2 linked regions of the Callithrix jacchus genome follow. The protein of the gene in region 2 purifies or fractionates together with the protein of the main gene of each other region. This does not show direct contact. Links are inferred from orthologs where the notes say so. Each region holds a gene or a part of one and is shown on either strand. Other genes may lie near its edges. The genes, in order: PTGES3 and EGLN1.

Region 1 (3,809 bases), on a different chromosome or scaffold from region 2:
TTTTCGTAAACAACATAAAATTGATCTGTCCGTTCTTTTATGCTTGGAATCCTAAAAACAAAAGGAGCACCGCACCATTTATTTCTCCAGTATCACTACTAGATGATAGAAAGTAGCTTGTCATTTCTCACCTTTTTCATTTCTTTACCTAAATTTTCTCTAGACTCTGAAAGAAACATGCCCTTGACTACTAAAAACTTCAAACTATCCAACTGCCTGAAACCCCTATGTTACATTTCTTTAAATTTTTTATTTTTTCCTATTTCCTACTGAAATAATCTGTACAAAAACAACTACAAAGTTTCCAGTTTAACCTGGTACCATTTTTTTCTTCCCTGCACACAGTAAATAGAATAAAACCTTAAAAACTTAAAGTAAAAATGATATAACCATGGATTGGTTTAAAGATTCTATTCTTCTTTTTTTTTTTTTTTTTTTTTTTTTTTGAGATGGAGTCTCGCTCTGTTGCCCAGACTGGAGTGCAGTGGCACAATCTCAGTTCACTACAACCTCTGCCCCTCCTGGATTCAAGTGATTCTCCTGCTTCAGTCTCCTGAGTAGCTAGGATTACAGGGCACGCCACCACGCCCAACTGATTTTTGTATTTTTTAGTAGAAACAGGGTTTCACAATGTTGGTCAGGCTGGTCTTGAACCCCTGACCTTGTGATCTGCCCGCCTCAGCCTCCCAAAGTGCTGGGATTACAAGCGTGAGCTACTGTGCCTGGCCTAACAATTCTACTCCTAAATAAGACAAGCCTCAGCTGGACATGGTGGCTTAAACCTGTAATCCCAGCACTTTGGGAGACCAAGGCAGGTGGGTGACCTGAGATCAGGAATTCAAGACCAGCCTCATCAACATGGAGAAAACCTGTCTCTATTATAAATACAACATAAAGCCAGGCATGGTAGTGCATGCCTGTAATCCCAGGTACTCAGGAGGCTAAAGCTGGAGAATCGCTTGAACCTGGGAGGCAGAGGTTGTGGTGAGCATAGATTGCGCCATTGCACTCCAGCCTGGGCAACAAGAGCAAAATTGTCTCAAAAACAAGACAACACACACACACACACAGACAAGACAAGCTTCAAGGATACTACTCTAAGCCCAAACAGTGACAGCAAAAACAAAAAGTATGCAGAAACCTATTTTGGAGGAACTACTACTACAAAACATAAATATACATAGGTTGCCTCAACTGTTAAGAAAAACAGAACAGCCCGGGCACCTATTTTGGAGGAAATACTACAAAATATAAATATATGTAGTTTGCCTCAACTGTTATGAAATACAGAACTGGTCAGGCACAGTGGCTCATGCCTGTAATCCCAGCACTTTGAGAGGCAGAGGTGGGCAAATCACGAAATCAAGAGAGACCATCCTGGTAAACACAGTGAAACGCCGTCTCTACTAAAAATACAAAAATTAGCTGGGTGTGGTGGCAGGCGCTTGTAATCCCAAGCTAAGGCAGGAGAATCGCTTGAACGCAGGAGGCGAAGGTTGCAATGAGCTGAGATTGTGCCACTGCACTCCAGCCTGGCAACAGCGAAACTGTCTCAAAACAAAGAACAGACTGAGTGCGGTGGCTCATGCCTGTAATCCCAGCACACTGGGAGGCTGAGGAGGGCAGATCATGAGGTCAACTAATCAAGACCATCCTGGCCAACATAGTAAAATCCCATCTCTATACAAAAATTAGCTGGGTATGGTGGCACGCACCTGTAGTCCCAGCTACTCAGGAGGCTGAGGTAGAAAAATTGCTTGAACCCAGGAGGTGGAGGTTGCAGTGAGCGGAGATCGCACCACTGCACTCCAGCTTGGCAACAGAGCAAGACTGTCTCAAACACAAAACAAAACAACAGAACCAATGCTTACTGCTAAAAACAGTACTTGAAGTATGTCCATTTCCTCACAACTTAAATCTGGATTAAAGCATCAAGACTACTTACATTTGGATCAATACAGTGAAAAAGATCAATTTCATTTAAATGCTTAAAATTATCACTTCCTCCAAGACAACTGTATAAAATAAAAAAGAAAAGAATTAAGCCTCGTCAGAGAATCTAAGATCAATGAAAACAAGCAAGTCAAAGTTATTCAGTTGTGTGAATAACTATTTTACATCATTAGATAAGAAGTTTAATTTACCTGAATGTAAGTTTGGATTTTTCAAAATTTACATTAACATCCTTACTGTCTTCAACACAAAATTCAATGAAGACATAGTCCCTTCGATCGTACCACTTTGCAGAAGCAGGTTGCCTATAAAAGGATAAAGTAGGGAAAGTCAAGCTGGAATTGATTACATTTACATACTAACCTTAAACATTTATTGTGTAAGTAAACATATTTCTCTATACCATCATAGCATTATTTTGGGGCAGTTCATTACATTAACTACAGTTTTACCCTAACGGCTACATTCCAAGTTAAAACAGGGCACTGTGGCCAGGTGCTGTGGCTCATGCCTGTAACCCCAGCACTTTGGGAGGTCAAGGTAGGCAGATCACGAGGTCAGGAGTTCAAGACCAGCCTGGCTAACATGGTGAAACCCTATCTCTACTAAAAATACAAAAATTAGCTGCGAACCGTGGCACGTGCCTATAATCTCTGCCACTCGGGAGGCCGAGGCAGGAGAATTGCTTGAACCAGACTGGGAGGTGGATGTTGCAGTGAGCTGAGATGGTGTCACTGCACTCCAGCCTGCACTACAGAGCAAGACTCTTGTCTCAAAAGCAAAAATAGGGCTCTAACAATATTTAGTTTCAGAATGATTCCAATTTCATAATAGAAGGGATTTAAAAACCAAACAATTTATCCAGTCCTATAAAAAAAATTACTTGGCCAGGTACAGTGGCTCACGCCTGTAATCCCAGCACTTTGGGAGACCAAGGCAGGAGGACCACTTGAGGCCACCAGAGCTTGAGACCAGCCTGGCCAGCAACCAAAACCCCATCTCTATTAAAAATACGAAAAAGAAAAAGAAAAAAACTTAGCTGGGCATGGTGACACAGGCCTGTAGTCCCAAATAGTTGTGGCCTGTAATGCCTAATATTTAATGGCTGACCCTTTATACAAATTTGCTAATACATTAAAACTACAAATGGGGCAGGGCGTGGTGGCTCACGCCTATAATCCCCAGCTCTTCTGGAGGCTGAGGCGGGTGGATCATTTGAAGTCAGGAGTTCGACACCAGCCTGGCCAACGTGATGAAACACTTTCTCTCTATTAAAAATACAAAAAAATGGCCAGGCACAGTGGCTCACGCCTATAATCCCAGCACTTTGGGAGGCCGAGGCAGATGGATCACGAGCTCAAGAGATGGAGATCATCCTGGTCAACATGGTGAAACCCTGTCTCTACTAAAAAATATATAAAAAATTAGCTGGGCATGGTGGCGCGTCCCTGTAATCCCAGTTACGCAGGAGGCTGAGGGAGCAGAATTGCCTGAACCCAGGAGGCAGAGGTTGCGGTGAGCTGAGATTGCGCCATTGTACTCCAGCCTGGGTAACAAGAGCGAAACTGTCTCAAAAAAAAAAAAAAAAAAAACAAAAAAATTAGCTGTGCGTTGTGGCGGATGCCTGTAATCCCAGCTATTCAGAAGGCTGAAACAGATGAACTGCTTTAACCCTGGAGGCAGAGGTTGCAGTGAGAAAGCCTGAGTCGAGCGGATCATGAGGTCAGGAGTTCAAAACCAGCGTGACCAAAGAGACCAGCCTCGCCAATAGTGAAACCCCATCTCTACTAAAAAGACAAAAATTAGCTGGGCATGGTGGTGCACGCCTGTAGTCTCAGCTACTCGGGAGGCTGAGG
Region 2 (4,241 bases):
TGTGAGTATATTTACCTCAGTTTCCCAAATGACAAGCTGATTGAATTATTATCCTCTTCCACCTGACTGGATCCCCAGAATGCCATTTACGTATGTAGCAGACTTTTATAACAGTTTTAAATTATGTATATTTGATGAAGAGGTTTTATATTTTTGGATTCAAGCTTTATTTTTTTTAAATTCTACAATGTGGTTTATAGTAATTCCATACATCCTGCTTTTGAAATACATATTGCAGCTTCTTTAAGCTTGGAAGGCTATATCTCAAGGACTGAAGTTACAGTATATTCAAGTGATACACAAGCCTAGCACCGAATTTTCCACAGTAAGTGTTCGATAAAGACTGTTAAACTCTAAGTCACAGGCCTTTTTATTCTTAAGACAAATAACAGCAGAAACATCCTTGGCTTATTTATGGAAAGGTTTTTATGCTCTATAAAACAAAGAATTGTATCCATCAGCGTAGCACAGATTCTATTAAAAATAAATGTGAGAGTCGTTAATGTAGTAGTACTGCTCACTTACTACCAAAATTAACTTTTCAGGGATAATTCCATCAGTTTAAATTGGATATTGGAATAAGCACTCATTTGACTTGGTAGCCCAATCATGGGGGTTCGAACTCGGCGGGATTTCAAAGGTTTTAAAAATGTTTTTGATTTTAACCCTCAAATTTCATAACCTTTAAATTAGGTTGAAACGGGGCACAAGAGATTGGATTAACATCACAGTAATACTTATTTTTGTTCTTAACCATTTCACGGCTTCTTGAAATAGAGGCTGGATGGAGCAATGGAAAAAACAGCCTTGGAATCTGAGCGCCTGATTGCTGGATTCAGTCCCAGTCAGTTCTGCGTGACCTTGGGCAAGTTACTTTACTTCTCTGAATTTCCGTTTCCTCCTCTACAAAATGAGGATCACAGTAGCCACCTTGTAACCCTAACCCGAGCGCGCCTCGCACAACTCGCGCCCGCCTGCAGGAAGAGCAGCCATGATTACGCCGCCGCCGCCGCCGCTCCGCCACCCGCTCGCGGCCGGCGCCCTCCCCTAGCAGGTGTAGGCGCTGCCCGCGCGGCCCCACGCCTTTCCGCCGCTCGCGGGCCGGCCCCTCTGCGTCCCCGCGCAGGCCGCTGCGGGCTGAGGCAGCTCACCGGCCTCTGCGTCCCGGCCCCGCCCCGGGTGGACGGAGGGCGGGCGACCCGGCTCTGAGGCCGAGGTCCGGCCCCGCCAAGTGCGGAGGAGCGCAGGCGGCCCAGGCGCCGCGCCAGCGCCCAAGTGTGAGCGCGGCCCCCGCCCCTCGGCCCTCCCCCCGGCCCTCCCTCCGCCCCCTCCGCCCTCGCGCGCCGCCCGCCCGGGTCGCCGCGGGGCCGTGGTGTACGTGCAGAGCGCGCAGAGCGAGTGGCGCCCGCATGCCCTGCGCTCCTCCACAGCCTGGGCCGGGCCGCCCGGGACGCTGAGGCGGCGACGGCGGCCGAGGGGGCCGGTCTTACGCTCCCCAGGCCCGCGCGCCCGAGCCCAGGTTGCCGTTCGCCGCACAGGCCACGTTTTCTCAGCCCACGGCGGCGATGAGGCGCTAAGGCGGCCACCGGCTCTGCGCCGGAGCCTAGGACTCGGAAGCGGCCGGGCCGAGGGCGCGGGGTGCCGGCCTCCCTGAGGCGAGGGTAGCGGGTGCATGGCGCAGTAACGGCCCCGATTTCTCTCCCCGCTCCCCAGCCTCGGGCGAGGCCGTCCGGCCGCCACCCCTCCTGCTCGGGCGCAGCCGCCGCCGTTGCCGCCGCCGCCGCCATGGCCAATGACAGCGGCGGACCCGGCGGGCCGAGCCCGAGCGAGCGAGACCGGCAGTACTGCGAGCTATGCGGGAAGATGGAGAACCTGCTGCGCTGCAGCCGCTGCCGCAGCTCCTTCTACTGCTGCAAGGAGCACCAGCGTCAGGACTGGAAGAAGCACAAGCTCGTGTGCCAGGGCAGCGAGGGCGCCCTCGGCCACGGAGTGGGCCCGCACCAGCACTCCGGCCCCGCGCCGCCGGCTGCAGCGCCGCCGCCCAGGTCCGGGGCCCGGGAGGCCAGGAAGGCAGCGGCGCGCCGGGACAGCGCCTCCGGGGACGCGGCCAAGGCAAAGGCAAAGGCCAAGCCCGCGGCCGACCCCGCGGCGGCCGCGTCCCCGTCTCGCGCGGCCCCCGGCGGCCAGGCCTCGGCGGTGGCAGCGGAGGCCGAGCCCGGGAAGGAGGAGCAGCCGGCCCGCTCGTCGCTGTTCCAGGAGAAGGCGAACCTGTACCCCCCGAGCAACACGCCCGGGGATGCGCTGAGCCACAGCGGCGGCCTGCGGCCCAACGGGCAGACGAAGCCCCTGCCGGCGCTGAAACTGGCGCTCGAGTACATCGTGCCCTGCATGAACAAGCACGGCATCTGTGTGGTGGACGACTTCCTCGGCAAGGAGACCGGACAGCAGATCGGCGACGAGGTGCGCGCCCTGCACGACACCGGGAAGTTCACGGACGGGCAGCTAGTCAGCCAGAAGAGTGATTCGTCCAAGGACATCCGAGGCGATAAGATCACCTGGATCGAGGGCAAGGAGCCCGGCTGCGAAACCATTGGGCTGCTCATGAGCAGCATGGACGACCTGATCCGCCACTGTAACGGGAAGCTGGGCAGCTACAAAATCAATGGCCGGACGAAAGTAAGTGTGGGCTGCGGGTTTGCGCTGGACATGCCCTTCTCGGCGGGCAGCCCCTCTCGTGACGGTAACTGCCTAGGCTGAGGAGCAGCCTTCCTCTGTATAGAAAGGACTTTGTGTATAGCACCCCGTAAGGAAGACGGACAGAATTCGGGGTAACTGTTTGATCTGGTTAGCCGCTTTGTGTCCGCTGTTTTCCACTTACTGCCAGTCCACAGACTTCTCCGGCTAATTGCATAGTTTTCTGGCTAAACGTAGGCGCTTTAACTTTGCTACTTTCTTCTTTTCTTCCATTCCACTGTTAGTCACAATTCATTCCTTAGTGGCGTTTTAGCCACCCAGTGAGGGGGTGTTAGAGTACCACCCAAAGCAAGTCCTGATGCTGCATCTGTCTTGTGTTTGCATAAGCACTTAAATTTCCTGTGCTGTCTGAATCACTCGTCACATTTTGATTGAGAGTCAAACGCTGTGTTCAGTTAAGAATTTGCCGGCTGACCACAAAAAGGTAAATTTAAGCGTTTAGTCGAAAGACTCTCCATATTCAGGAAGAGCGTGGCTACTCCCCTCCCCCTCTTATAGCTCCTACCCTCTCCCTGTTCCTACTGTTTTGAAACCCATTACAAAAAGGGAAAAGAAGTATTTCCGTTTTCGGATCTCTCTGTGTAGGTAGGCTACATTTTTAGCATTGGTTTCCTTTATTTGCTTTGTTAATGTTATCCTTCTGTTGAAAAAGAACTGTTTTGTAGCTTCCTGGAAAAAACAACACGAAATTGGAGCAGGAGGACTTGTTTTATCCTCCCAATTTGGTGAGATCTTTTTGTTTTCTCTTTACTGTTGCGTTTTTTTCTCCACAGATTTCTTCACTTCCTACCTAGTCTATTTTCTCTTTTTCTCCCTCACGGTGCACTCTTTCTTCCTTAATACTCTCTTGCAGGTCTTATTCATTTTGCTTCTCAGATCTTGATCTTTTCTTTATATCCAGCTACTCCCAGGCCTCCCTCCTCCACCATCAGTCTCTGTCTGATTTTGTGAGTTTTGAGAGATGGACTTGGGAGAGCATCACACTTACATGTTTGTACACACATGCTGACTCTTCCCAGTGGTTTTTTTGGAGTGTGTGTGAGACCATCTGTTTTGACAGTCATTACATGTGATTCTCAGGCTGCTCGGAAGGCTGAACATAGGCAATGAGAAAAATTATAAACATGAAAATTTTGTGGGGAAAAATACAATGTGGAGTCTCATTTACGTATTGCCACTTCATTGCTGGGTGAAGGCACACATCTTAATTTCATGTAGTCTTACGAACAGTTGAATCATATTAAACTGGAAGGAAAAGGGGGATCTGATGAAATCTCAGCCTTGGTCTTTTACTAGCTTTTCATTGATACTTTTAAAAATGAACGTTGTCATGGAACACATCTGAACATAAGTCCTGAGCTCAGAGCAGGAAAGAAATTAGTTTGAGGGAACAGGGCTGTGAAGACTGACCAAAGTATATAGTTGGGACATAAGTTTAAATTGGATTCTTGAAGATGATGTCCCAAATCTTTCTTGATCTGCTTTCC

What was found.
Region 1: the proteins of EGLN1 (region 2) and PTGES3 purify together in Homo sapiens (affinity purification with mass spectrometry; 5 studies listed by BioGRID and IntAct, with this or other methods). This does not show direct contact. The link is inferred for Callithrix jacchus from reciprocal best matches to the Homo sapiens genes EGLN1 and PTGES3.

What each region holds. Positions count from the first base shown.
Region 1 is NC_133510.1:62,980,080-62,983,888, reverse strand, and holds part of PTGES3 (prostaglandin E synthase 3), read right to left. Parts: intron 2,259-3,809; coding exon 2,145-2,258; intron 2,016-2,144; coding exon 1,946-2,015; intron 52-1,945; coding exon 1-51. UniProt on the Homo sapiens protein: Cytosolic prostaglandin synthase that catalyzes the oxidoreduction of prostaglandin endoperoxide H2 (PGH2) to prostaglandin E2 (PGE2).
Region 2 is NC_133520.1:53,463,224-53,467,464, forward strand, and holds the start of EGLN1 (egl nine homolog 1), read left to right. Parts: upstream 1-1,374; 5' UTR 1,375-1,785; coding exon 1,786-2,676; intron 2,677-4,241. UniProt on the Homo sapiens protein: Cellular oxygen sensor that catalyzes, under normoxic conditions, the post-translational formation of 4-hydroxyproline in hypoxia-inducible factor (HIF) alpha proteins.